Daphnia pulex: one gene and its partners. The protein of the gene in region 1 purifies or fractionates together with the protein of each later gene. This does not show direct contact. Links are inferred from orthologs where the notes say so. Each region holds a gene or a part of one and is shown on either strand. Other genes may lie near its edges. The genes, in order: hsp90 co-chaperone Cdc37-like, mitogen-activated protein kinase kinase kinase 7-like, eIF-2-alpha kinase GCN2-like, serine/threonine-protein kinase grp-like, cyclin-dependent kinase 1-like, serine/threonine-protein kinase B-raf-like and src substrate cortactin-like.

The links.
Region 2: the proteins of hsp90 co-chaperone Cdc37-like (region 1) and mitogen-activated protein kinase kinase kinase 7-like purify together in Homo sapiens (affinity purification with mass spectrometry; 6 studies listed by BioGRID and IntAct, with this or other methods). This does not show direct contact. The link is inferred for Daphnia pulex from reciprocal best matches to the Homo sapiens genes CDC37 and MAP3K7.
Region 3: the proteins of hsp90 co-chaperone Cdc37-like (region 1) and eIF-2-alpha kinase GCN2-like purify together in Homo sapiens (affinity purification with mass spectrometry; 3 studies listed by BioGRID and IntAct, with this or other methods). This does not show direct contact. The link is inferred for Daphnia pulex from reciprocal best matches to the Homo sapiens genes CDC37 and EIF2AK1.
Region 4: the proteins of hsp90 co-chaperone Cdc37-like (region 1) and serine/threonine-protein kinase grp-like purify together in Homo sapiens (affinity purification with mass spectrometry; 3 studies listed by BioGRID and IntAct, with this or other methods). This does not show direct contact. The link is inferred for Daphnia pulex from reciprocal best matches to the Homo sapiens genes CDC37 and CHEK1.
Region 5: the proteins of hsp90 co-chaperone Cdc37-like (region 1) and cyclin-dependent kinase 1-like purify together in Homo sapiens (affinity purification with western blotting; 3 studies listed by BioGRID and IntAct, with this or other methods). This does not show direct contact. The link is inferred for Daphnia pulex from reciprocal best matches to the Homo sapiens genes CDC37 and CDK1.
Region 6: the proteins of hsp90 co-chaperone Cdc37-like (region 1) and serine/threonine-protein kinase B-raf-like purify together in Homo sapiens (affinity purification with mass spectrometry; 5 studies listed by BioGRID and IntAct, with this or other methods). This does not show direct contact. The link is inferred for Daphnia pulex from reciprocal best matches to the Homo sapiens genes CDC37 and BRAF.
Region 7: the proteins of hsp90 co-chaperone Cdc37-like (region 1) and src substrate cortactin-like purify together in Homo sapiens (affinity purification with mass spectrometry; 3 studies listed by BioGRID and IntAct, with this or other methods). This does not show direct contact. The link is inferred for Daphnia pulex from reciprocal best matches to the Homo sapiens genes CDC37 and CTTN.

What each region holds. Positions count from the first base shown.
Region 1 is NC_060026.1:6,136,961-6,140,502, reverse strand, and holds hsp90 co-chaperone Cdc37-like, read right to left. Parts: upstream 2,221-3,542; 5' UTR 2,095-2,220; coding exon 2,062-2,094; intron 1,891-2,061; coding exon 1,757-1,890; intron 1,689-1,756; coding exon 1,524-1,688; intron 1,439-1,523; coding exon 1,058-1,438; intron 985-1,057; coding exon 795-984; intron 731-794; coding exon 560-730; 3' UTR 501-559; downstream 1-500. Other genes in the region: U1 small nuclear ribonucleoprotein 70 kDa-like, read left to right, coding at 1-100, 157-227, 290-393. UniProt on the Homo sapiens protein: Co-chaperone that binds to numerous kinases and promotes their interaction with the Hsp90 complex, resulting in stabilization and promotion of their activity. Inhibits HSP90AA1 ATPase activity.
Region 2 is NC_060025.1:3,027,484-3,031,536, reverse strand, and holds the start of mitogen-activated protein kinase kinase kinase 7-like, read right to left. Parts: upstream 2,801-4,053; 5' UTR 2,746-2,800; coding exon 2,659-2,745; intron 2,594-2,658; coding exon 2,371-2,593; intron 2,317-2,370; coding exon 2,199-2,316; intron 2,131-2,198; coding exon 1,988-2,130; intron 1,928-1,987; coding exon 1,741-1,927; intron 1,680-1,740; coding exon 1,543-1,679; intron 1,512-1,542; exon of another isoform or gene 1,481-1,511; coding exon 734-1,480; intron 1-733. Other genes in the region: guanine nucleotide exchange protein smcr8a-like, read left to right, coding at 3,070-3,248, 3,310-3,577, 3,638-3,931. UniProt on the Homo sapiens protein: Serine/threonine kinase which acts as an essential component of the MAP kinase signal transduction pathway. Plays an important role in the cascades of cellular responses evoked by changes in the environment.
Region 3 is NC_060017.1:4,490,143-4,494,180, forward strand, and holds the start of eIF-2-alpha kinase GCN2-like, read right to left. Parts: upstream 2,801-4,038; 5' UTR 2,507-2,800; coding exon 2,467-2,506; intron 2,357-2,466; exon of another isoform or gene 2,355-2,356; coding exon 2,217-2,354; intron 2,158-2,216; coding exon 1,953-2,157; intron 1,887-1,952; coding exon 1,731-1,886; intron 1,656-1,730; coding exon 1,539-1,655; intron 1,495-1,538; exon of another isoform or gene 1,469-1,494; coding exon 1,344-1,468; intron 1,278-1,343; exon of another isoform or gene 1,271-1,277; coding exon 1,195-1,270; exon of another isoform or gene 1,133-1,194; coding exon 1,023-1,132; intron 963-1,022; coding exon 640-962; intron 578-639; coding exon 457-577; intron 382-456; coding exon 334-381; intron 66-333; coding exon 28-65; intron 1-27. Other genes in the region: restin homolog, read left to right, coding at 3,869-4,038. UniProt on the Homo sapiens protein: Metabolic-stress sensing protein kinase that phosphorylates the alpha subunit of eukaryotic translation initiation factor 2 (EIF2S1/eIF-2-alpha) in response to various stress conditions.
Region 4 is NC_060028.1:8,546,400-8,550,362, forward strand, and holds serine/threonine-protein kinase grp-like, read right to left. Parts: upstream 2,701-3,963; 5' UTR 2,517-2,700; intron 2,456-2,516; 5' UTR 2,422-2,455; coding exon 2,321-2,421; intron 2,267-2,320; coding exon 2,043-2,266; intron 1,982-2,042; coding exon 1,897-1,981; intron 1,773-1,896; coding exon 1,333-1,772; intron 1,272-1,332; coding exon 844-1,271; intron 782-843; coding exon 563-781; 3' UTR 501-562; downstream 1-500. Other genes in the region: histone H2A-like, read left to right, coding at 1-81, 141-336. UniProt on the Homo sapiens protein: Serine/threonine-protein kinase which is required for checkpoint-mediated cell cycle arrest and activation of DNA repair in response to the presence of DNA damage or unreplicated DNA.
Region 5 is NC_060026.1:11,477,871-11,481,288, forward strand, and holds cyclin-dependent kinase 1-like, read left to right. Parts: upstream 1-1,140; 5' UTR 1,141-1,291; intron 1,292-1,394; 5' UTR 1,395-1,525; coding exon 1,526-1,574; intron 1,575-1,639; coding exon 1,640-1,935; intron 1,936-1,995; coding exon 1,996-2,151; intron 2,152-2,213; coding exon 2,214-2,377; intron 2,378-2,445; coding exon 2,446-2,698; 3' UTR 2,699-2,918; downstream 2,919-3,418. Other genes in the region: GATA zinc finger domain-containing protein 1-like, read left to right, coding at 1-186, 242-405; eukaryotic translation initiation factor 3 subunit F-like, read right to left, coding at 2,982-3,065, 3,129-3,379. UniProt on the Homo sapiens protein: Plays a key role in the control of the eukaryotic cell cycle by modulating the centrosome cycle as well as mitotic onset; promotes G2-M transition via association with multiple interphase cyclins.
Region 6 is NC_060021.1:7,350,480-7,354,711, forward strand, and holds the start of serine/threonine-protein kinase B-raf-like, read left to right. Parts: upstream 1-1,432; 5' UTR 1,433-1,445; coding exon 1,446-1,589; intron 1,590-2,006; coding exon 2,007-2,108; intron 2,109-2,323; coding exon 2,324-2,758; intron 2,759-2,822; coding exon 2,823-2,927; intron 2,928-2,997; coding exon 2,998-3,164; intron 3,165-3,496; coding exon 3,497-3,732; intron 3,733-4,092; coding exon 4,093-4,232. Other genes in the region: ATP-binding cassette sub-family D member 2-like, read left to right, coding at 1-54, 123-273, 347-415. UniProt on the Homo sapiens protein: Protein kinase involved in the transduction of mitogenic signals from the cell membrane to the nucleus. Phosphorylates MAP2K1, and thereby activates the MAP kinase signal transduction pathway. Phosphorylates PFKFB2.
Region 7 is NC_060023.1:10,192,619-10,196,806, reverse strand, and holds the start of src substrate cortactin-like, read right to left. Parts: upstream 2,801-4,188; 5' UTR 2,680-2,800; intron 2,616-2,679; 5' UTR 2,605-2,615; coding exon 2,459-2,604; intron 2,393-2,458; coding exon 2,273-2,392; intron 2,212-2,272; coding exon 2,101-2,211; intron 2,040-2,100; coding exon 1,919-2,039; intron 1,824-1,918; coding exon 1,713-1,823; intron 1,653-1,712; coding exon 1,542-1,652; intron 1,478-1,541; coding exon 1,294-1,477; intron 1,228-1,293; coding exon 1,157-1,227; intron 1,096-1,156; coding exon 550-1,095; intron 491-549; coding exon 410-490; 3' UTR 1-409. Other genes in the region: 39S ribosomal protein L23, mitochondrial-like, read left to right, coding at 3,038-3,051, 3,131-3,336, 3,405-3,475, 3,544-3,699.

The DNA of each region.
Region 1 (3,542 bases):
CTGGTCAAGTCGCTTCTGGCGATGAGCGTCGCAAAGAAAAAGATCGAGTTAAAGACAAGAACAAGGATCGCCGGGAACGTCGCGATCGTTACAAGGATAAGTAAGCAATCAAATTATCGAATTCAACTTCAGAATTTAATGAATAATTTTTCACAGGGAACGAGAGCGTAGGGACTATGTTCGGGAGGATGGTGAACAAGTGCGAGTGAAGGAAGAACCGCCTGATGGTATTGGAATTAGCTGTTAATGAAAAATATCTATTACTAATTTGTGGAATTGAAATTTGCAGATTATGACTATACGGCCCAACAATATGATGGCTATAATCAATATGATCCTGACAACATTAAATACGAAGTGGAAGAGTCGCAATTCCAGACTGAAGAATACTAGCGTATGTTTTTATAGCAGTAACTTGTCTGTTCTTAAGGCTTTTTAACTTTACAATTTTAAAGTGAGGTGAGTATGAAACTGGAGGTAAAAACGTCAAATACACGTTATTCAAAAGCCCCAGTGTATTAATTCATTATTAATGAATATAATAATCCAAACTAGTATTTTAATTTTCTGCAACATTTTCTGCAATATTTCCAGCAACATTTCCGTCGGGTACCCACAATCCGGAGTCAACACATCTTTTCATATGAAACCGTGCTTCTTCTTCAGGTAGTGTTGAAATTGCTTGTTGAAGAAGCTCAATGTTTTGTTTTTCAAAACAATCCTTAAGAACCTACACAACAAAACACATGATTCATATATGTGGAAGGAAATTTATGTGTCTTGCTCAATTATACCTCCGGTAAACTTTCAAATACTTCAACGGGATCCAACCCTCCAGGACCAAGTCGTTTTTTCTTTTCTTCCTCCTCAGCTTCGGCAATTGCAGCTTCTATTTTCTCTTTCGCCCGCCGTTGTATACGGTCTTTGAAAGCTACAAGTTCGTCTTCAAATCCTTTACGATACTCAACATCTGCGATTTGAATTCTAAAAGAGATAAAATAGTAAACAATTCATTTAGTTATAGCTACATAAAGGACAACTTAATATAAAGATAAACCTTGAAAAGAATGAAGACACACATGATCTTGGATCTCTGTTAAGGTGCCTGGATAATTCAAGAATGAATTGCATGCAAATGCACTGATGGGCAACATGTTCCATTAAACTTGTTTTCTCTTCCATTTCTAAATTAATACACCAAATCACGAGATAGTTTGCTGTTTCTTCACAAACCAGCTCTGGATTTTCTTGAAGGAAACGCTTACTATCATCATACTTTTGTAGCATTCCATATGCCTTAAGATTTTTCTCATGTTTCTTGAAAAATTCACGTGTTTTGATTTCTTTCTCCTCTTCAGTGAGCTCTTTCACTTTTTTGGGTTGGTCAACATTGACCACAGTTTTTGAAAATCCAGGTTGACTAATTGTATCTACATTCCTAAAAAAAATATGCAAAAAAACCACAATTAAACTTTGAAATTAGACATCACATTAGGATATATTGAAGTGAATCTTTTAAATACCATGGCATCAACTTTTCCTTTTTTTTCATTTGTTCTTCATGATCTTCGAGTTCAATTTTTTTCGATTCTAATTCACTCAATTGCTTTTTCAAATCTGTCACATCAATACCTTCTTTCATCACCTGTTCATACTTACTTTTAACTTCTTTTAGTTTGGCAGTGTTCCTTTGTTAGAAAAGTTTGATTTAATGTAAACTTTAACAAAAACATTAAAGCTAGTTATTTAGCATTACTCATTTTTTGCTTTGAGAAACAGAGCTTTTTCTTGTTCCATTTCCTTCATTTTTTCTAATCTAGCTTCGTGTCGCCATTTGAACAGAGAAGGCGTGTCAACGTTAGGATGTGTATCATCCTCATCGTCAGATATCTGTAAAGTATTATGAAGTACGTGAGTGTTTAAATGAAACATATAAATAACGAATACTTAATTACGATACTTAATTACGATTAAATACTATACTGACAATAAATAGAAGGTTAGAGAACCCGCAAAAATATGGTAAAATAACAACACAACATTTTTGAAGCAACAATTTACCTCGATATTTTTCCATTTGCTGTAGTCTACCATTTTATTCGCGATAAAGTTAAGAACTTAATGGAAAAGTGGAAAGTGACAGATTATCTAAACGCTAACACTACGAATCTACGATTGTAGACTCGACAGAGTGGTGGCAGAAAACTGAACCTTTGCCTAAGTGATAACTCCAAAGAGGTACACCCCTCTGGCGATGGGTGGAGCTTGTTCCTGAATGGACTAAAGCAACTTCGTCTCTACTAAGGCCATTTTAGCTAAAAAAAGGGGGGTTTTAGTTTTAGCCTTTAGGAAAAATGAACATTATTGACACATTACACACTATTTACATAATAAAACCCGGACAAAATCGTAGCGTGGGATCTTAAAGAAATGAACCATTAAACATTTATATACGGGAAATAGGGGTCTTAATTCAAAAAATTTATTCATTATAAACTGATACTTATTTTATTAATAAAAAATGTCGTGACGATTGCAATCGTTCGATCGTGCGATCACGACCACGGTAAATTTTTAGCGATCGCGATCCAAACTGAAAAACGCGACCGGGATCGGAATTGCAGGCCAGAAATCGCTCGATCAGATTTGCGATCGTCGCTATCTTTAATTAATAAAAAAACCCTTTTTTTAAATAGCACCACCAATAAATTATTGTTTTTATTTTTATATAAAAAATTATTGTTATACATTAAAGTTTATAAAGTTTCAGTGATTAAATGTATTTTTGCAAATTGCTTTGTGCTTTGTCTTGATTCTTGAAAACGTTGGTAATCATTTCCCCTTGCCATCTAGCGGCGATCGCAAAAAAGATCACGACCTTGACATGATGTTTGTTTCTGTTAATCGGGCCGGGCTCGCGGTAAAAAAAAAATATCGGCCACAACACTGTTGATAAAAATGTGTTACAAATTTTTTACATTTTCGTTAACATTTATTATTTTAAAATTAATTTAACAGCGCGACAAAATGTTCGAGGCTTCGAGCCGTGTTTAACACGGAGTTTATGGCGGTTACCATAAACTTAAAATAAATCATTAAAAGACAATTAAAGTAATTCGAATAATACTAAAAGTAATTTTTTGTGTAAACTAATAGCGCTTATTTGTGAATGACGGTTTTTGTGAGAAGTTGATTTTTTGCGTGCTAAACTTCTTTCTATATCTGTTGCTGTGACTTCACATGTTGCGTAGTCAGCATCGCGCAGTACTCTGTTTTCACCTGGGAGTAACTCCCTTTTGAGTCCTCCTTCAAATGCATTCTTTTTTTCCTTCGAATGTCGTTTCTTTTGAGAGTCATATCTTCATTTGTACTATGGAAAAAAGCATTCCGTTGTAGGCTTTAACAAATCATGTTTCTAAACGTGGGCGAAATTCTCTTACTCGTTCGTTAGCTTTTTGTTCAATTTCAGACAGTTCGTTCTTAAAAAATTGATTCTCAGATGGGTCCTTAAATGGTTCTATGATTAAATCTTTCCATTCATT
Region 2 (4,053 bases), on another chromosome or scaffold:
CCAGCGTGTTGACTGAAGGACCCTTTCCAACGAGACCTTGGGTTCCCTCTCTCTTTCTCCCGCACACGACGAGAGAGAAGGAGAAGAGCGCAGCGACTGTAGAAAAAAAAGGCCAGGACGGAGGGGGTCCGATAGCTAATAGCAAATGTGTGCGTTAAAAATATCCCGCGTGCGCATCCTGTCCGTGTTCGTGTGAATCATCACCGCGAGCCTTCACCAGCGTTCTAAACAAATACTTTGATCGGGCAAGCGTGATCGAATTTTCTCGGGAAAATAAATCGAATGCTGATTGACCAACATTTTAACACATAAACAAAAGTCTGCGGCCGAAATCCGCATTGGAACAACAACCGACTACGGTTTCTGCACGGGAAGAATTTTTTCGATAGTTGCGCAACATGACCAAGTTACCCGCGCATCGCATTCCGCCTCTATACCAACTCTTATCTATTTCCTCTCTCTCTCTCTCTATTTAGTTCGTTCCATTTCTTTTCCTATTTGTTTCTTTTCTTTTTCTTCGTTCCTGGGTTAATGTGTCAACGCTCCGGCCTGTTCCAACTACTGGTCGGGTGATGCACACAGTGCTGACGCACGCATTAAGTATGCAAACGACTGCGTACTAGGAACTGAGTCACATTTTTACACGGCACATTGACCCAACAAGTACCACTGTACCTGTCACGATTGCATGACATGTAATTTTTGACCAGGATAGATTCAAACATTTACTCACCAATATGACGTTGACCAGGCAGATTTGAAATGCAAGGCATCGATTGCTGTGGAGTGACACCAGTCCATAATTGGGAAGGATTCCCGTGTGAAGAGGATCTGCGGTGGCCCATGACGCTCACATTTGCGGATTCTTCTACTCTTCTAGCTTCTGCTCCGCTCCATCCGGAAGAATAGGGTTGAAGAACTGGAAACGACGGTACTGGAGACGTAGGGACGCATATGTCAACGTGAGGAAATTCCGCTGATCTTCTCTTGAACGGATGATCGAATTGCTGAGGTCGACGGGGAGTTTCCAACGGCCCTAGTTGCCCTATACTTTCGTTGGCCGTATTAGTCATCTGTGGCTGATAAGGTGACTGCATTCTTCCTAGACCACCCTGTAAGAAATCCTCGCCCAATGGCGGTATGGCATAGCCTTCGGCTGACTCGTCGCTTTCTCCGCCAATGATTAGGTGCAGTGGCTCGCTAACAGTGCTAGTGCCTCCTATTATTCTAGGTGAAAGCAGCTTGAGGCTACTGGGCGTGACAAGCGAACGACCTGGCTGCAGCATGTTTTCCTTTTCGCTGAGCAGTTGGTTAAAAGCTGGCAGTAAGCTGTCTGTTTCTTCTCGATGGGCGGGAGTGACAGGACGAGCGGGTGAATGGTGGTACTTTGTTCTAGGAACAGGCAGTGATGTCAAAACTGCACTGGAACAAGAAGAGTTGCTCAAACTGGGGTCACTGCCACAACTTTCCAAGCTGGCTCCTGTTCAACATGTCCCGAATGTATATAAAAGGTAATAACAATTAATTCGCAAAATATTTTACCACCAGCTTCGATCAAATCCGATTGGTTAGGGTATTCGAGGGGTGGAATTTCGTCAGGGAAGAATTGAAACAAATGCGATATTTCTTTGACGACTTGCTCCATTGATGGTCTGTTGTTTGGATCTTTATTCCAACAACTTAAAAAAAGAAAGAAATGGATTGAAAAATTAGCATTCCACCAAAGTGGTTGATCATTACCTGGTCATTATGTTCTCTAACGGAACGGGGCAGCCTTTTATAAGAGGGGGACGCTTGCCTGTGTGAATGGCCCACATTATGGTAAACGCCGAGTCTAATATGTGACTAAACGGTTTTTGACGGGCTAGTAACTCCCATAAAATGATACTCCAACTAAACACATCACATTTTTCAGTGTAGTGGTTGCCTAGAAAAGAAGAAAATTGAGCCAATAATTTTGAAATTTGCAAATCTTCTTAAGTGTTACCTTCAAAAACTTCAGGTGCCATCCATGCAGCACTACCTTGCCCATTAGTCATTTGAGTTCTCATGTCACATGCAGTGCCAAAATCACAAATTTTCAAAACTCTACCCTCCATCATTAATAGGAGGTTTGGTGGCTTAAGATCTCTGTAAGCACCCCCACAATGAAATTAATTTAGTTACACACCAATGAAGTTAAATGTAAGAAAAAACACCTGTGAATGATGGCACAAGGCTTCATACCATGTAGGTAAGCTACTCCTCTTGCACACTGCAGAGCCCAGTTCATAGCGTGATGGAAGGTATAAGATATCTTGGAGCGGCAATGTAGAACTAGACTCAAGTAATGTAGTTAAAGTTCTAGTGTAAAAAACTGTAGGAATTTACCATCATATAATGAAGCTTCAGCCAATTCCATGAGAAGACAAACTGTTCTCTTTGTGGAAGCTCCATACAGCTTTACTATATTAGGATGTGATACTCTTGACAGTTGCCTTATCTCAATCATGAAGGTTTTTTGTTCAGCTGATGTGTTAATTTTTTTAACTGCCACAACTTTGGATCGCCAAACACCTCTGTATACCACCCCAAAAGTTCCTCGTCCGATTTCCTGCACGATACGCAGCCAATCTTAGTGTAAATAAAATCAGTACTTAATAATGGAATGTTACAAACCCGCAATTCTTCGACTTCACTTATATCTATTTCCAAGTCTTCTGGTATTGTTTTTAAGTCGCCAGAAAATGTTTCTGACGAATCCATGATTACAAATTATATTTACACAACTACAAATCCAAAAACAAGTTTTGTTAAACAAAATTTTTCGTATCAAACTTTTCGTCTGGTCCGATCTTCCTTCTTTACTGCCATCTAGCAACAAATTTTGTCACCACCACGAACCACCTAGCAGACGTCCCTGCTGGACTGTCACCAAGACAAAAGTTCACTCGTCTTTCAAAATCAACACAATGTTGGTTTAATGTGATTGTCATTGTACTTACTTCGTATGGGTAACTTAAATAAATATTTGCACGTTAAATTGCTTGTACAGCCTAATGAAAAGTCTTTGTAATAATCAATAATAACATGGCTAGTAGCCAAACGATTAGAGACTTTATTCTAATAAGCGAATTCTGTGAAGTCGAAGGGCCTCGTTGTGTTTTGACTATCCCAGCTGTTCTACCTCATCTGAATAACAATGAGAATTTCAATCTGGATGAATTTCTTCTTTACATAATGACAACAGATTATCAGAATTTTCCAGGGTATTTATTTTAAATTATTCAAAAATTCTTTGGGTTATTTCATACTATTTTAATCCCACAGGGAAAAGTTGGATGAAATATCTGATGTGCCTTGCATTCGGACCAACATCATTCAGAATTTCCATGCCATCCTTCATTACTTTACTTTGAAGGATTCTCAGGCAAGAGGAGGTGTGCGTCCTTCTTGCATAGCTTACATCACTCAAAATCAGACCAAGCTCTATCGTCTGAAAAATGAAATCCTCAATGTTCTCAACATGTCTGCCCAAATATTGAAAAATGCAAACATGAGGTGGATGGGGAGCTTAGGACAGGATGTTGGAGTACAGGTAGACAACAGTTACTGTACTTTGACCTCCTACAAGTATTATTTCTTTGATCCTTGACAGGAGAACAACACTATCACTAGTCTGCTTGACAAATGGAATCATCTAACTCAGCCAGAACCTGAATTAGGGGATCAAGAAAAGAAGCTTAAGCCATGGCATTTGCTCTGTCCCATAGGAATCTCAATTGTGATATCAGGTCTAATATTTGTGTATAAAATAACCTGTAGACCTCTGGAAGATCAGATCTTGGACCCAAAGGTGATTTGTTCAACTTATGATTTGTTTACCAACGTAAACCCCGATAATGTTGATTTTAAAGCTGTAATGTCTCAATTAAACAGTTTTATATTATGATCAGTTTGTATCGAGAATTCCAGAAAATAAATCAAGCAACACGGATATGTTTAGAAGATAGCTTTATAGTTTATACTTGAATTAGAACTGGTTCTCCAAAGGTGTTTGTTGTATAACTTCAA
Region 3 (4,038 bases), on another chromosome or scaffold:
GTTGTTTTTCATATTTCTTCACCAAACCTTAGCGTCCGGTTCTCGACTAGCCAGTTGTTCTGGTGCTAAAAAAATGCAAAATTTTAAATCTATTTTTATCAGTTGGTTACAAATAGAACCAACCCCCTCTCCGAAATTATTTAAATATTTTAGTAAGAAATTCACTAATTTCAAAACAAAAAAAAAAACAGACTCCCAGACAGCCAAAATAAAACAAAGCTCACACGTTTTCCAGACAGAAGTTATTTTTTTTGCAACACCTAGTGAAATCTTAATAACGCGTTGAATAAAAGACACATGCAAGGTCCAGGAAAGGTCATAAAAAATGTATACCTGCATACGTTTGAGTGCCAACTCCTCTAGTAGCAGCACAAGTTCCAACTGCTCAGTTAATTAAATAATACATGAAAGGAATGACATGACACAAGCAGAAAGTGCAAGCTAAAGCGAACTTACAACCTGGAATTTTAGTTGATATCGCGCCATTATTAGGGACATTCGTGAAGTTAAGCACTGCAAGCCCGAAGTCTCCAATTAAGACCTGATTCGCTGTTGCATCCACGAATATGTTCTCCGGCTAAGATTAGACCAGAACTTACCATGTAAGTTAAATTAGTAATTTAGTTTAAAAAATGATACTTTTATATCGCGGTGAATAATATTGTTGTTGTGAATATAATTTATCCCTTGAACGATTTGGCGGAATATCGACAACTCGAGATCTATGCTGTTTAACACTCTTTTCCTTTCATTTCGATATTTCAACCAACTTCGCAACGTTTGTGGACATAACTGCATCTGAATATACAGTAACATCGCAGGAGATGGAAAAGATCGATTGAAACGCCAGTTGCTGCTCAACACGACACTGTGATTTGTCGTACCCACTTCACAACGGGTCTGAGAATAGCAACGTGAAGTTGAATTCGTCGGTGTATCACCTTCAAATATAATGCTCTCTCCTTATTAAAAACATAAGCTTCAATAACAAGAATAATCATTGCAGTGTCTAGTTTTCTTACCATTGGAGCTAATAACCATTTCACAATTACTGGAAAAGGATGAGCTAATATTTACTGTGGATCTGTGTTGAGACGAAATACTGAAATCATGAACATGCTGAACGATCCCACTGGAGAACGAAATGAAAAATTACTGACTTGAACAAAGCCTTCTTTGAAAATGAAAACTTACTTCTGAGTCTGTGGAGGACATCTTTCAAGTGGAGAGACATTCGTTGGAGTTTCACTTTCAAAAACAACACTATCACCTTTCAAGTAACATACGAAAATAAGCTTTCCTAACTAATAAGAGTAGATAGCTCAATTATTTTTTTTTCTTACTACTAAATGAATCTAGAAACGATGATTTTCGAATTCTTTCACGGGATTGGGAAGAGCTTATCACTGTGGAAAGTCGGTCGTCTTGAGAAGAAATACTGATGTCATCCATATGCTGAAGGATCTCACTGTAATAAACGACATTTGAAAATTATTCGGACTTCAAAAAGAAGGTTTCGCAACAATTATTATATGTACTGAAATGTTTGTGTTGGACAATATTCCAGCCACGCACTCTTATACGCAACTATGTTTGGATGATGAAGTTGAGAAAGAAGTTGCACTTCACGAAGAATTTTGGCAGCAGATTTTGGCCTAGAAATAACGAATTTTTTTTTTATTATTATTTCAAACTAGAAAAACATAAGGAAATAAAACACAAAAAAATACCCGATCAGAATTTTCTTGATTGCATATTCCATGTTATCGATAAAATTGTAAGCTTTATAAACAACACCGAAGCCACCAGCTGCTATAAATTCCATTTCTTTGAAATCTAACTGGTAACGCGATGTAAACAAATGTTCACTGCCATCAGTTGAGCTCCTAAGAATTTATAATGAAAACTCTCTTAGATGCTAAAAATGGGTTTTCCATGGAACAAGTAGTTACCAAATATTTCCAGCAACTGGAGATGGATTTGCAACAACCAATGAACCACCTGTTATAGGTGTTTGCCTACTTGTAGCTATCTGACGTTTTGCAAGGCAAAAGAGTTTATTCAAGTCTGAAGAAATTTTCAATCTCACTCCTGCCATTTCAGGGAATCCAGCAGTTGGTGGTAGAAGACGAGAGCTTACAAAGTATTTTCTTATTGCTGGATATACAGAACATTAGAAATATAGGTATAGAATTAAGATAATGAAATGAACTCACCATCATACAGTTCTTTTTGCTTAGCTGAATCAGTTTCGTGTATGGCACACATTCTTTCCAACATACACTCTATGAGCAATACATGCGGGAACTGATGACGGAGAGTAGATGCTAGACTAGTGGATTCTTCTATTGGACCTGAAATCATAAGAAAACGAAGATGAATTGTGAGATCTTCTTCAGAAATAAATACCATAAAAGGTATCAGCTCTTAAAAAAAATCGCTTCAAGTGTAAATTGAACAGATGACCTCCATCAAAGGTAGTTATAGGCACGGGTAGAAAACTCATTTCTCTTTCAAGTTCTTCTTCGATGTGAACGAAATGTCATGGAAATGTAATTGATTCCGCAGTGGTACTTTTCAGTCTATGAGGATTTCTCATAATGTTGTTCACACTGAATCTATCTAGATTGGTTGAGCAACACTAGAAATTTTAGAAGTTCATCCATACATTAAAAATTATTCCCTCCTTCCATCAAATCATTAAATCCATTGTAAAAACAACTTCAAACTTCGGATCACTAATTTTCTTTGCACATTTCAAGCAGTAGCAGACTACTTCATCAGAAGGCGACGCCGCCAGACGGGCGAAATAACCTTATCGAAATTGCTAGAACGTTGTGTCGCCTGTGTGCTAGTGGCGCTATAATAAATAAAAAGAAATTGCAAAATTGGAACAAGGAGAAAATCAGAAAATAAATTGTAAATTACATTAGTTGTACTTTATATTGAATAAATAAGAAAACGCATAATTGATAACGTTATAACAACTGATTGAATAACAAGATAATGGATTCGTGGAACCATTAAGTGGAACCCTCGGGACGTTTTCGGTTTTCAGTTTTTGGTCATTGGATGTCCTTGAACTCGCAACGTGATTATCGTCACTATATTTCATATTTAGTTTTTAAGTAGGACCTAAAGGAAGAACTTATTGTCGAGCTGAAGGTAAGTTGGAAATTGAAACCATTTTTTAGTGAACGGAGTGACTCCAGTGATAAGCAAATTTGACTCAGACTCACTCAACAGTCAACACTCAAGAACGGGTCACGTTTAAGGCGATGTGCATTTGTTTCTAAGCCCACTGCCCAATCAGCTGATCAGCAGTTCCTCACTTTCTTGTTTCGGGCGGCAAATTGGTCAGTATTTTTCACGTGCTGGACAAACACAGTTGACTTTTAGTATCCTCATTCTCATGTTTTTTCATATATCTGGTAAGTTAATTGGTCCTTGTAATGTTATTGTGGAATGTGATAACTTAACTAACACGTGATAAAGAGCACGTGAGTTTGTGATTGATTTATCGACCACCCACTTTAAGAACAAGTAGCATATTCACCTTATTTTTGTGACTTGGATTAAATCATTAAAGTATAGTAGTTCATAAACTTAATTGAAGTAATCATGCTGCTGCTGTATTTTAACGACAAAAAATATGTGCTTCTTTCATTTAGTGTTATTTAGAAAGATCTCACACCTTACCAGTTTTCCGCTTGTATTAAATTTTTTATTAACCACGAGGTTCTAAATGCAATGTATAAATAACTTCGAAAAATTGATTTTGTTGTTAGATCACATATTTAACTTGGGAGTTGTTTGATTGTGTTTCAGGTTTACAATTTTCAGTAGAATTTACTGATTTATTGTGAGGATGGAAAGGAAATCTTTTGGCTTCACACAGTCAAGGTTTATGACAAAAAAACCTTCACCACACAGAAACAGTGAGACTACTACTGCATCTCCCATTGTTACCCCTCCTGCCAATCCTTTCTCTCGTAAGCCACCACAGAACCCTGCAACTTCTGGACAAAGTAGTGAAAC
Region 4 (3,963 bases), on another chromosome or scaffold:
CCTGGCTGCCGTGATGGAGTACCTGGCTGCTGAAGTCTTGGAGTTGGCAGGAAATGCTGCAAGAGATAACAAAAAGACCAGGTAGAAACCTTATTTCAATTATGCGTCTGAATATCTTGCTGAATCCAAATGTTCTCTAGGATCATTCCAAGACACTTGCAGTTGGCCATCCGAAATGACGAAGAGTTGAACAAACTGCTTTCAGGAGTTACTATTGCTCAAGGTGGTGTGCTGCCCAACATCCAGGCTGTTCTGCTGCCCAAGAAGACCGAAACTGCCCCAGCAGGAGGTTCCAAGGGGGCTGCTAAAGGAAAGGCCAATTCTCAAGAATATTAATGTATCTGAACTTGGTCCTAAATTCATTTTTCATCTCTAAATGTGTTCCAAACCTCCAGGATTTTTTGAATTTCCATTTTAATTGCTTTCAGTCTTAATACTTTTTGATCAAATTCTCCTGTAAGTCCCTTGTCATCCAGAATAAATAAAAGCGACTCTTGTGCTACATATGAATCAGTGTAATGCAACATTATTGGTATTTAAAAACAATATTACAATTGAAAGATTAAGGAATGCTATTTGTAGCAGTGGCAATGGACCAAGTAACTGGTGCAGAACATAATATATCTGCCAACTTATGTTTAATTGCTAGGAAATGTCTTTTAAAATCAAGTCCACAGCCTCTCGACAATCGAAAGTCGAGTAACACCATGGTCTGCATATCGTAAACCGTTGCTTTGAAGACGAGTTGCATTTTCCGTCGATCTTGCGTGGATATGGTTACCTATGAACGCAAAAAGAACGTTAACATACTACAATATTCTTTAAGCATTTTATTTGTTATACCACGCCAGGAGTGTGAATTTTCCAAGTGTAGCCGAGTTTGATTAGCTGTTGGCTCAAATGTTTGATTGCTTCTTCACAGCTAACTTTTGCCACAAGACGAGTCATTCTCTTGACAAGTCTTTGGAGAGGCGAACTGATGCTTGAACCCGAAGCAGTTTGTGTGTTCAGCTGAGAGTTCAGTAGCATATCGTCGATATGAGCAGGTTGAGAGAAGCTAAACATCGCGCCTGGCAGATGCTTGTTAGGGGCTTGATCATCGTTAGTGTCGTTTTGATGGACAGGTTGAGAACCGGAGAAGAATCCAAGTCCAGGCTGAGAGTAGGACAAATGGGTTGCATCGGATGAGGGCGGTGATAAACCAGCATCCACTACGTCAGAGCATAGGCGTTTAGAGACTGGCATGTTTTCCTCTGTCCGTAGAGATGTACCTTCAATTCAGAGAAGTCGGAAGTTAAGAAAGGCATCAAATAGTAAACAAGGATTTCATACTAGGAACTTTGAATTTCTTCTGAAACCATTGATGATTAGTTATTTGCTGAATAGTGTAACGTTTCCCGGGCAACGGCATCAGCACTTTCCGGAGTAATGACAGAGCCAATGTATCAATCTTGGTCCATGGCAATCGCGTGATCTGACATTCCTTCCAGGATGTGTAGAGAGGGCAATCATTAGATGGGACATCCCAAGGCAATTCTCCGGCTAACATGGCAACAAGAACGACGCCACAAGACCAAATATCGGCTGGCTCTGCTGCGTACTTGCGACAGAGAACCTCAGGAGCGATGTAAGGTAACGTCCCACAACGCTTGTCCAGATGCCTTTCTCGACCTTGAAATCGAAAAACTGTTGCCATTCCAAAATCAGATATTTTCAAATTGTCATTGGCATCCAAAAGCAAGTTTTCCGGCTTTATATCCCTGTGAGCAATCCTATAATAAATATAGAAGAAATGTTGTATGTTCGAGATTCGCGAAAGCGTCTTGGTAAAATAATCTTAAGGGGACATTTGTTTAAAAAATGATGAAAAAACTTGAGTTATGTTATGATAATTACCCTCTGCTATGCAAGTAGCTTACACCAGCAATTAACTGCTTGAAATAGCGCTGAGCTTCTACTTGAGGCATTCCCACATCAGGCTCTGAAATTAGAGTAACAGGTTATCATTGCAGACAGTATTATTTTAAAAATTAATATATTACCAATTCTGTCAAATAATTCTCCACCAGATGCATATTCCAAAAAAATGAATTCAAAATTGCCATTTTCCCTTCTCCCATAAAACCTTATCACGTGCACATCATTCAACATCCGGTGCACACAAACTTCTTTTTTGACTGTTTCAGCAGCATTTGCGTGCTTCTTGAGATCAATCACTTTCATTGCAACTGCTTCACCTGTTTTGGCATTAACTAATAGTTTCACCCTAGAACAAATTTGTTAAATTATATATTTTGCATGATTCTTACAATTTTCTTACTCTCCAAAAGCTCCTTCACCCAGTGTCTGAATCATATCCCAGCCTTCTACAAATTCAATTACACTGTTTTTTCCTTCATATTTTTTACTTTGGTCTTCCATGATTGAATAAATATGTATTGTACAACGAGATTAACTGAAAAGATACAAGCTGTTTTAGACACTTTAAAATGGAATACAAAATATCGCAAAAATACCACTTTTTCCGTTTCTTTTTGGTGTAGGGAAGATCTGCTTTACAAAATTACCACTGACACAGTTTCCAGTCTAGTTTAACAAGTTGCACCAATTCATTTTCCTAATAAAATGTTAAAACAGGTGTAAGCATTTTGACTCGCTAGTTTTCGTCAGCTTGTTGTTTGGCTTCTGTTGTTTGCCGCCCAGTTATGGGGTGCGTTCGTAAAAAGGTGTGGCATGTGCGCCACAACCACGTATGAATTTTCTCAGAATTAAAATCGTAAAATATAAATTACACAATATCAATCAAACTTGAACGTCGTAAAAAATATTAGAAAAGGTACGAATACTCTAAAATTATTAGAAAAATGTTATGACAAGAGTTATGATGAAAAAGGTGAACATATTTATGTCATTTTATTTTTCAGTTTCATGTACGGATACATGAATACGTAATAGGATTCTCCGTTAAATTCCCTACGCAATTAATATAAATTTAGGCAACAATACTCCAATTTTAACTAATCCTTGATGTTAGACACTTAAGCTTGGTCTACACCTGGATTTAGGTGGAGTTAGCGAACTTTGGATATTATTCATTTGAATTCAAATTAAAGACGATTGTATTCCAAAGTGTATTAACTCGGGTCCCTTCTTTCATTTCCCATTTTCACATATCATCATTGCCAGAATCTGAATCATCTTCAAGTGCAGATTTTGCGTATCGCTCAACTTCAGCAAACACCTCCTGAGAGACTTTCTGGTGACGTCCTTGGGTGACAGCACCTACCCAGCTCAGCTCCAGTTCAAAATGTTTATCCTTGACTTCATCATGGACAATGTAAATGCTGCATGTACAAAAAAAAAGCCAATTATTAACCTGAATTAAATAGTTAAAAAAAGAGCTAACATCTTGGCAGCTTCTTTGATGAGTTCTAGACAGGTCATATCCTTAAGCTTGAGCTTTTCCATTTCTGTTTTAGCAGCCTGTCTTGCTTTCCCCATAGCACATCCAAGATATCCCTAAAATATGGACAATTTTGATATTTTTTAGATCATAAACAAAAATTGGTGGAAAAAGTGAGCATACAAAGGAAACTCCAGATGGATCCACCATATAAAGCTGAGGGCCATCAATTTCATCATAAGATCCAAGAGCAACAGAACAACCAAATGGCCTCACAGCAGAATACAGAGTGTAAGCATGCTTGTACATGGCAACACGATCTGCCAGATACTAATTTTTAAAAATATTAAGTTTAGCTGAATGATCAAAATTATCCAATGCTAGAATATACTTTGACAGGAATATTGCCTCCATATTCAGCACGGTAATTTGAAGCTTCTGTCCTGGCAGTTTCCACAATTTGCCTGGAATCAGCTAAAAGGCCAGCAACAGCCTAGAAAAAGCATGAGTTTTTAATTGTAGTTTCATAAAACAGCTTAATTTTCAGGACTTGCCATTCC
Region 5 (3,418 bases), about 5.3 Mb from region 1:
ACATTTATTATCAAGTGGGGGACATAGTTTCAGTCACAGATGAAGATGATGGAGTTTATTATGCACAAATTCGTGGGCTTCTGCAAGACCAATTTTGTGAAAAAAGTGCTGTATTAACTTGGCTCATCCCAACTCAAAGTTCACCACCCCCAGATGTGGGATTTGATCCACAGACATATATTTTAGGTATGTGAATTTTATATTTTTTTTTCTGTACAGCATTAAAACAGTCTTGGTTTAGGTCCTGAAGAAGAATTGCCACGTAAGCTGGATTATCTTGATTTCGTAATGCATGCGCCGAACGAATATTACAAACTGGATGAAAATGTTCGAGTGTCTAGTGAAAAAGAAGCTGGCTATATTTGGACAAGTATGGGTGCCGTACGAAGAACTATTCATTCATGAAAAATTCCACCAGGATCATCCGTTTATAGTAGAATAGAAAGACCAAGGCAGCCGGCTCTTTTGTTCTTTGTGTCTTTTAATGCCATTACAGATTCGTTTGTAAAACAATTCCATCATTTCTGAAGTTTGTAACTAAAAATATTTGTCACATGTTCTGCTACCTCACTGAAATTCGGAGGAAGAGTAAATTAAATTGTTTGATCTGTTTTAAGTGTTCTTTTCTAAATTTTTAAGAGTTTTCACAATTTTAGTAAGATATTTTCGAAAATTACATGTCGGAAATTATAGAAGATTTTTTTACCTGCTTGCACGGCTTTCTTAAAAATAATACTTGACCATTCCTGCATTACGGCTTGCCTTGCGGGTAACAATGTTTTTAGAAATTATTTTGTGCTGAAATTTTGAGCTGAAATATTTTCTAGTCTACCGGTAAAAATGTTTCGATTATAGTGGTAATAAACAGTTCATTTAAAATATAATGATATTTAAAAATAATATCGATAATGTTAATGAGTTTTTCAAACTTGTATAAGTTGTATGGGTTTTTATTCATTCATAATACTAGCGTCATTCGAACTAATAGACAATTATAACTTGAAATCACCAGCGGGAATTTGTTATTTTAATTTGAGTTTTAATTCAAAACCTTAAAAAAGTTTAAAAGAACTATAACAAATTCGAAATCGTATAGTAGGTTCGTCAAATACATCCATTTTGTCCAATGGGTTTCTGATTATCACCCATAGAGGGCCGTGATTCTGTGAAGTGATGAAGTCGTTTCAAAATTTGGCGGTTACATTCCTTAGTCCAACGGCCGCCACCGTCTCTTTGACATCCAAGTGTGCTCACCTTTTCCTTTAAAGTCGAGTCTGTGGAAACACGTTGGGTACGAACTTTCTTTACTTTGTTAGATTATTCTCTGTTTATCGTGTAACGAAATATTTTATGCAAGAGTCTTACGAATCAATTGATGACAATCTGATTTGCAGGTGGAATACGAAGAATACGTCACTCCAGTTTTTGTTTGCTGCCATTCGACTTCAAATTTCCGTTACTTTCCCGAGATTTCAATTCTTCACACTTTTTGGTTTTTGTTCTTGTTTCTTAACAAACAATAGTGATGCCTTCTGCAATGGAAGACTTTACCAAAATAGAAAAGATCGGTGAAGGTAATGATCCCTGGTACACTAAGCTGTGTAACTTGAACTGATTTTAAAACTTTTGTTTCGCAAAGGTACTTATGGTGTTGTCTACAAGGCTAAAAACCGTAAGACTCAACAATTTGTTGCCATGAAGAAAATCAGGCTTGAAAATGAAGATGATGGTGTTCCTTCGACAGCCATCAGGGAGATATCACTTTTGAAAGAGCTGCTACATCCCAATATCGTCTGTCTGGAGGATGTTTTGATGCAAGAAGGAAAGCTGTATTTAATTTTTGAGTTCCTGTCAATGGACCTTAAAAAGTACATGGACAGCATTCCAACTGGGCAGTTGATGGATAAAACTCTTGTTAAGTCTTATTGCCACCAGGTTTGCTTAGAAGATTTAGGACTCATTTATATATTGGCCTGATTTATATTTTCCCTCTAGATTTTGGAAGGCATTTTATATTGTCATAGACGTCGAGTTTTGCATAGAGATTTGAAGCCCCAGAACTTACTCATCGATAAAAACGGAATTATTAAGATAGCTGATTTCGGTCTTGGGCGCGTATTTGGAGTTCCCGTTCGTGTCTACACTCACGAGGTAAAGGAAAGAAGGTTCCCAATGCATGGACGTATACTATAAATTCTTTTGAACTCACGAAGGTTGTTACTCTATGGTACCGTGCTCCTGAAGTATTGCTTGGGTCATCAAGATATTCGTGCCCCATAGACGTGTGGTCGGTTGGCTGTATTATGGCTGAAATGATAACGAAAAAGCCATTGTTCCAAGGAGATTCGGAAATTGATCAGCTTTACCGTATTTTCCGGTAGTGTTACTTGTCCTTTTTTTTTTATTTTTAAAATTACATTTGTTCCTATTTTATTTGAAACACAGAGTAATGAAGACGCCCACGGAGGAAATGTGGCCAGGCGTTTCAAAAATGCCCGACTATAAACCTACTTTCCCTAATTGGAATACTTACCACCTTCAAAATTCCGTGAAGCAACTTGACTCGATTGGATTTGATCTGCTTCAAAAAACTCTCATTTACGATCCAGCCCTTCGTATCACGGCTCAGGATGCTTTAGATCATGCTTGGTTTACCGATCTGGATAAATCTATCTTACCCACCAATGTGCCTGCTTAATTAAGCATTCCTCATGTAAACGATAGCTACTAAACCTGGCCAACTTCCTGATGGTCGTTTCTTGAAATTCTGTTTTTCGCTTTTCCTAATCATCATTTTTTTTGCTCTCTGAGAGAAGATGGGTGTGATTCTTTTCCTTGGTAGCGAAGAAATTTTCTTCCCCCTTGTGTACGTGTGACTGTATACTATAGTTTCCTAATAAATATGCTCACGAGGACTACATCAGAAAATTGTAATTTAATTGGGAGATGTTCATTTTTATTTTTTATATCAACGTTCTGAATTAAATTGTCAACAATGTGAGTTTTTCGTTCAGCGACAGTTGAGTCTTGGTAAGTTGTGATAGATATAATACCATCAATAAATCCTAAATTAATAAAGTTTTACAAAAATTAGATTAAATAAGTAAATATTGGGTAATGTTTTCTACCTTTCGGTTTGAATTAAGCATCTCTTCAAATTCGTCGGGTGTCATTTTAGGTACCGAATGAACCATATCTAATAGAGAACGACCAAACGTGTTGTCAGCCGTTTTGGAGCCACTCATTACGTCGTCAACATAAGCCAAGATAGTGTCCAGCATGTTTTCCATCTGCTGCGAGGCTTCAACAATCTGAGTAAGATCCGAAGCGATGCCCGCTTGACGTTTAACCGAGGTTTTGGTTTTCTGGCAGGCATTTACTGAAAAACAATCAAAGATTAATTCCCAGTATACATACA
Region 6 (4,232 bases), on another chromosome or scaffold:
TGCCAAAGATGCTGATATTACACTTCTCACTATCACCCATCGCCCATCTTTATGGTGTGTTCAAAAAAATATCCAAAAATTCTGCTAGTTGAAATTACGCAATCGGATTGTATTTTTTGTAGGAAATTCCATACGCATCTGCTTCAATTTGATGGTGAAGGCAAGTGGACTTTGGAGCCATTGAATACTGAAACCCGGCTTACGCTCAAGGAAGAGAAACAGCGTTTGGAGGCGCAGCTGTCTGGCATTCCTCGTATACAGGATCGTCTGAAGGTGACCTTGCCAACTGGTTTGTGCCAATTTCGTGTTAACTAACAATTTTTTTACTTCTAACAACAAAAAACAGGAATTGTGCGTTCTTTTGGGAGAAGACTCGTCTACACAAGAGGAAGTGGAGTCCAACTCTTCCGATTGATTCAACCCATCAAATTCAGTTCAGTTTTTCATGTTTAGCTGAGGAAAAATCATTCAGCAAACTTTACCCTCTTAGTCAATTAATTATGAATTATGATTTAAAAACAACATGCGGTGTGATAGCGCGTTAGTCCCAGTCGCTCAGAAAACATATTTTTTGGGGTTCTAGGTTTAGATAGAATACTCCTTTTTTTTCAGTTTTTTTCAACAATATTTCCAAATTTAAATTTCCTTGTTAGTTTTTTTGTTGGCTGGCTGGAACCTAGAACCAGTTTCGATTCCTTCTCCCAATTGTACTAGTCCAATTTGACGGGCACATGTTTTCGGCATATTAACAGTGCTACGTGAAACCCCGTCGTTATTTTTAATTATTTAGTAAAATCCCTTGTTGTTTTGCAAATGACGGATCTTTACTGACATTTGCTCGAAATCGTTCATGATAGAAATTACTCCACATTTTCTTTAATCAGGGTCAAAATTGCTGATGATTACGAGAAGGAAGCCGCAACCGGAAAACATTTTTGTTGTTAGATTTTAAAAAAAAAAAAAAACCCTTTCACTCAGCAGCACCCAATTGAGACATAATATTTCAATTACGTAATTATCTTTAGTCACAATTGTTATTCAACTCGAAAGCCAGAAACATCGTGCCATCGTTTCAATTTGTGGAACTTTTATGGCTGGCCGTTTTTCTTTCAAATTTACGCGGTATTTTACCATGTCAGTCACTTTTCTTTAAGGGCATTGCTTGATCCTGTACAACTTGTTCTTTACTTGATTAGTTTAGTGAAAAATAAATAGATATGCTGTATATCAATATTTTAGCCTTCAACTCCACTCGCAGTTATTTACATAATATACACGCAATCGGCAGTTCCCATTTCCGCATAAACAATAAACAAAAGATCACGTGATTATAATAAAAAAAGTGATTTGATGCGTTGCCGCTAGATGTCGTTTCAAGTTTGAAGCCATCTAGCGCGATCGCCAAGACTTTGGTGCCCAGCGAATGAAAGGGAAAAAAATAATAAATGGAAGAAGAAGGGGGAGAGAAAAAAAATCGGTCCAAGATGGCCGTGAACGAGACTCTTCTCGGCAGTACAATGACGAATTTCACCCTTCCCAGCCCTAAAAGACATCGCAAATATGAAGAAACAGGAACGATTCACGATGAGGTGACTATCTATTTACAGTGTTGTTTGGTTCGCTCGAAGAATGACATCCAGGAAAGAGATCTCTGAGAAATGTCATTTCGTTTCACTTTCCACCGGGATGTTTGGCTTTATTCTTTTTGACGCTATCGAAGCATTCCATCTGCAAAATTAATTCATATCGAAGAGGACCATTCCCGAAAACAAAGTGCTCCAAAAAAGAATCCCAATGGTTTGATCGCTTTAAGTGGAAAAGTTTCTTGGGAACACTGTCCCACTGAATTGTTTTGATTCAGTGACAGCCTCAAAACAGACATTCAATATCATATCAATTGAGGTCCATCATTGAGCATCAACTTCAAAATGCCTACTTATCTTTTCAATAGTGTTTTGCTTGATACAAGGCTTTCTAATTCATTGTTTCTTGTGTTTTCTTTGCAGCTGCGGAACATTCAAAGTGTCATTCGCCTCACCAAAGAAAATATTGATGCGCTCAATGCACAGTTTGCTGGATTCCAACACCCACCCTTGATGTACATAGCTGTAAGTGCAATTCAGTTTTCTTTAGTTCCACCCCTCAATTTCCCTTCTGAAAGCTCATTTATCATCAAAAGTCGAATAAAACTACATTTGCAGATTTTCCATAGCGCAGCCAGTTTTTCCACTAAAACATAGCTGTCTTTGAACAAATCTATAATCTCTATGTCCTACTCATTTCATTATGACATCAGAATGACTTGGTTTTTGTTTTTCAATAGGAATACAATGAATTGACAAGCAAATTGCACGAATTCAAAGCCCGAGAGCAAGAACTCATCGAAAGAGTAAGCGCAGCTACGGCATCCAATGGACGACAAAGTCCTGGTGGTCACGAGTTGGAAGATTGTTCCGATGCTGAATTGCCACCACACCTCAAAACAGGATTTGGGCCAGATGGAGGTGGTCATCATCATGGACACCAGCAACAACAAATTCATCATCAACAACAAGCTCCCGGTCCGCCTTTAATTGCTATCCCTCCTCCTCCTCGATCACCTCTAAAGTCGGTAGTGCGAGCATACCTGCCCAACGAGCAACGGACGATCGTACAAGTCAAACCCGGCCAAACTGTGCGTGAAGCCCTTTCAAAAGCTATGAAGCTGCGCAAGCTGGACCCGTCCACGTGCGCGGTCTATCGATGCACACAGCCTGAGGTATTACAAAACAAGTTACACGCATAACAATAATGTCAATATTCCCCCATTTTTCTCCCCAAAGGTTAAAGTACAATGGGATGCCGATATAGCTTCAGTCGAAGGTGGAGAGATTCGTGTTAAACTTAAGGATAATTTCTCAGCCACAACCAGCATATCTCACAATTTCGTAAGTTTACAAAAAATCAGACGACATTGGTTTACATTTCAATCGTTAATTTAAAACTTGATTTGAAAAGGTGCGCAAAACATTCTTTTCTTTGGCTTACTGCGAATCCTGCCGACGCCTGCTCTTTCAAGGCTTCTATTGTCGGACGTGCGGATATCGTTTTCATCAGCGTTGCGCTGCAGCCGTCCCTCCCTTGTGCAATCCGGCTCACGTAGCCGAAAACACACTCCTACAGATGTGAGTAATCGTGTCGTAAAAGGAAATTGCGTTGGTACATCGTTGCGAGTCTGCTCTCATCCAATTTTCGCGTTCAAAAGCGTAGAGTGAAAATTTGATTGCATACCTAGAAGACCTTGGCCATAGTTTGAGATCAAAAGACTACGCTGAAGGTCTTCTAAGTACTTGGGAATTTTTTTTCTTGGAATTAAATTTAGGGGCGTTTTTTTGTCAGCAACAGAAACATTTTTGCTTTTACTTTTGTTAAATTATCAAGTTCCAGAAAGATTTAAAAAATGGCGAATTTCAAACATTCAATGACCTAATCCTGATTTGTATGGAATATTTGATAGGTTAATATCGTGTCCAGAGGGCCCCGTACCGTACCCGTACACAGCCGGCCTTACATACCCGCCGACATTCCAGCCGATGCAGATTCCTCGACGCCACCCTCCACCTCTAGCCCAAAGAGAACGATCAACATCGGCTCCTAACGTTTGTTACAATATGGTCGGCAATCAAGGCGGCATCGATACCGCGTTAGAGGATTGGTCCTATCGTATCAAAGCTCACAACCTTGCTGCAACAGGTACGCCAAATTTTCATTATTCTTTTGCAAGTGTTTTATTTATTTTTTAAATCGGCTTGTAAGATGAAGTGGCTGACTCCGTCTTAAAATCCCTAACATTGATTCACAATTTTTTGTTTTCGTTTTTATCAACCAAATTATTAAGTGCACGAAATTTTATTTTTTTTTTGCCTCGTTTACATTTGGTTTTCTTTTCTTTCCGTTTGCCTGTTGCAAATTTTCGTTAAATCCACACAAAAAAAAACCCGAAAACAAAACCCAAAACCATCGAATCCGCTGTGTGTGGGGAATCCTGCGTGTACACAAAACCACTGAAACCCGACCTTAAAATCCTCAAACAAAACAAACAAAAAACCACAGAAGCTGGCCTGATCAGTTTAACACGTTTGGTACAAAACGGCGGAGGCCGGAGCAACAGCAACAAAGGCTTGAATGGCATCCGGGAAGAGCAGCATGAGAATCAGCCCCCTGAGCCGCAACAGCAACAACAACAGGCGCAT
Region 7 (4,188 bases), on another chromosome or scaffold:
TCAACAGGCTGCATAAGATAGATTGGTCGGTTGGATCTCGGCACAATAATCATAACAAAGCATTGTGATTTGAGTCGGCAAACAACATCTAATTATTGGTTCTTAATTAAATGCAGATAAGGGATAACTTGCAATTCTCTTTCCACAATAATAGGCAAGAACGATGTTTTTCCGTCACACATTTTCATCAAATCAACTAATCTGTAATAAGTAATGTTTTTCTTCACCGCGTTGTGAATACTGACTGGACAACAATACACGAATATAACGCCACGCGTAAAAAGAACCGCCATATGGTTGGCTTACGAGATAAGGAAAATTCTTGGAAAGAATGCTTAACAATTGGGAATAAAAAAGAACCTTGGATTGTTGGATAAAACCTGGAAGACGAAAAAAACTGGATAGGGTTTCACTGTTGCAGTTGGACGTAATTAGCGGGAAATAATCCTATCTGTCCTCTACACTCCCCTCGCCACCAACCTTCATCGATCTGCACAGCAAAAGAGTTGGTTAGAAACTAAACACATTTTATAAATTAATAAACATTACCATTTCGATGTTGACAATGACTTCATCCGGGTCAAAGGAGAGCTCGTCTTCTGCAGCAGCTTGGTAATCGTAGAGGGCGACTGCAATAAGACCGGATCCAGTTTCTTCCGCAACTGTTTCTAAATTCGAATTCTCTTGGACGTAGCCTATCTCTTCTTCGTCTTTCCAGGCGTCATCCTGCTCATCCACTTGCTCCCTCCACGCTCCATCATCCACTTCTTCGACAGCTTCGGCCAGATCATCGTTCCATCGTTCAAGGGATTGCGCGATATGTTGTTGAGTTTGTGCCGGAACAGGTGGAACGACAGTCGGTGGAGGTGAAGGCGACCTAGCAGGTTCTGGAACTGGAGAAATCACAGGACTTTCTCGGATGACTGGCTCTGGTATAACAGGCGACTTGGCTGGGAGGAATTGGTTTTGTCGGACAGGTTTTTCTGTTTGGGGGATTTGTTTAATGGGTGGCTCTGTTTGAGGCGTCGACTGTGTTTCGAATTTGTGTGCTATCTTAGCCATTGGGCGGGGATTCTTCGGTGGAGGAGGAACAACCTAAAGAAATGAAAAATGATGTAATACATTTGTTTGTAATAAGAAACTATCAAACGTTTACCATGGCTGCTTTCTTGTTTTCTTCAGCAAAATTTTCAAAACGGGATTTCAGCAAAGACGCTTTACCTTTCTCTATGGAACCAAATGAGTTTAATAAATTCAAACCAAGAAAAACTTAACGGAAATTTTTATTGTTACCCGCAATAACTGGCTTATCCTTCTCGTAAGTAGTACCAACATGACCTTGTTCTTCATCAAAACCGACGGCCGCTGCATCTTGTCTATCTGTTTGAACACCAAATTTTCCTCCGAAACCTTTTGAACCATCTACTTGGCTCTCATGTTTCTCTACTTTTTCTTGGTAATCATAACCAACAGCACTCTGTCACAAAAGATAAATTAAGAAATTAGTTGGATTACAATAACATTGCATTGGTAGGTTATACTTTATCGACTCGATCAGCCTGGACACCAAATTTACCACCAAAACCTTTATTTCCATCCACCTGACTTTCATGTTTCTCCACTTTTTCTTGATAATCCCAGCCAACTGCACTCTAAAAATTGCACTTCAATAGAAAAAATTCCTTTGTTCAAACAGTTATAGAATTTGTTACTTTGTCGATGCGGTCGGTTTGTACGCCGAATTTCCCACCAAAACCTTTGGAACCATCTGTTTGACTTTCATGCTTTACCAACTTCTCCTGATAATCCCAACCAACAGCACTCTATTTAACCGATCCAAATAAAACGTGAGAAAATAGTGGGCATAACTGTAAAGTAACTGAAATAAAACAATAATGCGCATATTTTAATGAAATACCTTATCAACTCGATCAGTTTGAACTCCAAACTTGCCGCCAAACCCTTTGGCAGCATCTGTTTGACTGCCATGTTTTTCAACCTTGGCTACATAGTCATGCCCCACTGCAGACTTATCCATCCTTAATAAACAATAATAGTAAGAAATTGGAAAGATGTACAAAAAATGAATCCTGTTCTTACCTGTCCTTTTGAATGCCATATTTCCCACCAAAACCAGTGGTGTAATCTTTTTGAGAAGCATGTTTTTCAACTTTTTCGATATGTTCATGCCCGACTGCACTTTTATCCATACTGAAGAAACAAAAACAAAAGTTGATGAAATTCACATTTTAGTTTTCTAAGAAAAACATACCGATCTCCTTGTACACCAAATTTTCCACCATATCCATAAGATGCTTGAGGTCCTGCAGCCATTACCTTTTTCTTGAGCTCCAGATCTTCTTTAGTCGTTTGCTCTCGTAGAGCATTCATACTGTAAACATTGACAGAAACCGTTAACGTAAATACACAATGTCTTGAAGAAAACATTTATGCTCACTCAATAGCACCCGCAGTTCTTCCCCCACCCCATCGTTGTTCTTCTTCTGTTACGTTGTTAATATAATTGGGATCGGTATCCCATTCATCGTCATCTTGGTTGACAACAGGAGCCTTGATGCTGGAACCAACTGCTGATTTCCACATGTTATTACAATCTAGAGAGAAAAATAAATTTTAATTTAAAATTATTTGTGATAATTAATGATCTCTCTGACGTACAAATTCTTTAATAAATAGATATAATACTAATTTAAACCGGCTAAAAGTTGAGTCACACGCCCTTTCTATTTGATAAGAAGTTAAACAATCCGGATAGTTTATCTTGCAACAATGCCATTCGGAAATGAATTTTAAAAACTTATTTTTATTTCGTCATAAAATCTACTAATAATAATTAAAAAAAAAATTTAAATTGTTTCTATGAGTATAAAAGTGTAAATATCATTAATGAAAAGTTTGAAATATGATTTGGCGCAGCATAAAGATTCAAGCATGCACCATGCAGTCAATGCAGACGAAAACAGTAAACAAGAAATCATCAAACTGATTGTGTTGAGGCTTCAAACATCCTGAGAAAATGTCGACGAGAATGTAAGTCAAGAATTTCAAAGCTTAATTGGGTTCACTCAAAATTTATAATTAGTTACGATTAAAAAATCTAAAAATGTAGATATCCAGCTTTCAAAAGCGGTAGTCCTAAATTACGGGTGTTCCTACCTGACTTTTGGATGAAGCTTGTCAAACCGAGCCACAATTTGCTACCTAATCAAGTTCAGTTTGTTGTCTCATCACAAATGACCAAGCTTGATGTTAAACAATATCTTGAAAAAATTTACAACCTCCCTGTTGTTCATGTCAGCACCTACAACCAAATGGGTACGACAACATTATTGAGGTTAAAATAAGTGATGTTTTACTAACACTTAGAATAATTTTCTTTAAAGGGAAAACAAAAACTTTACCCAACACTTATGTCACTAAGGAAAATGATGAAAAAATAGCCTTTGTAACTCTGGTAATTTGAAAACTTATCTTGTTTAATGTTTCTTCAACTGTAACCATTTTGTTTTGTTTGTTTTTTAGCACAAAGACCACAAATTTGTCTTCCCAGAAATTCATGGCAGTACTGACATTTATGATGAGCAAACTAATACTATGAAACAGACAAAAGAATTGTATGCCCAGAAAACAAGCATTAATATTTCTAAACAAGGAGTGCCTACATGGTTTAGTCATTGAATTTGTAAAAAATTTGTTAGAATACAGTAATAACATATGGTTTATTTATTATTTTATTTCATTTGTATAAGATAAAAAGAAACTCCGGGTAGGCCTATGGCACGGTATTTGGTGGGGGGGGGGGGACTTATTGAAAATATTTTGCTTCGGAAAAAAAAGTGGCAGAAAGCAGAAAAGGGATTCCATAATTTTTCATTAACGTTGTATTGTATTACCCATTAACCCGAAATATTGAATAACTTTTAATAGTCTACATTTTTTCTCGTAACGCCAAACAAATAAGAACCAGATTAAATTTACAGATATGATAGTGGTTACCACCATTTAGCTTATTTTCCGCCCCAATGAGCCATAGGTCCATTGAAAGGATTCTTGATGCATTTATCCGAACTCAGATAAGCTGCAACTTTCTCTAGCCCTCCGATTCTCGCGTGAAATTCTTTCAGATTTGGGAATTCATCAATTGACCCAGGAATCATTTGAGAGTTC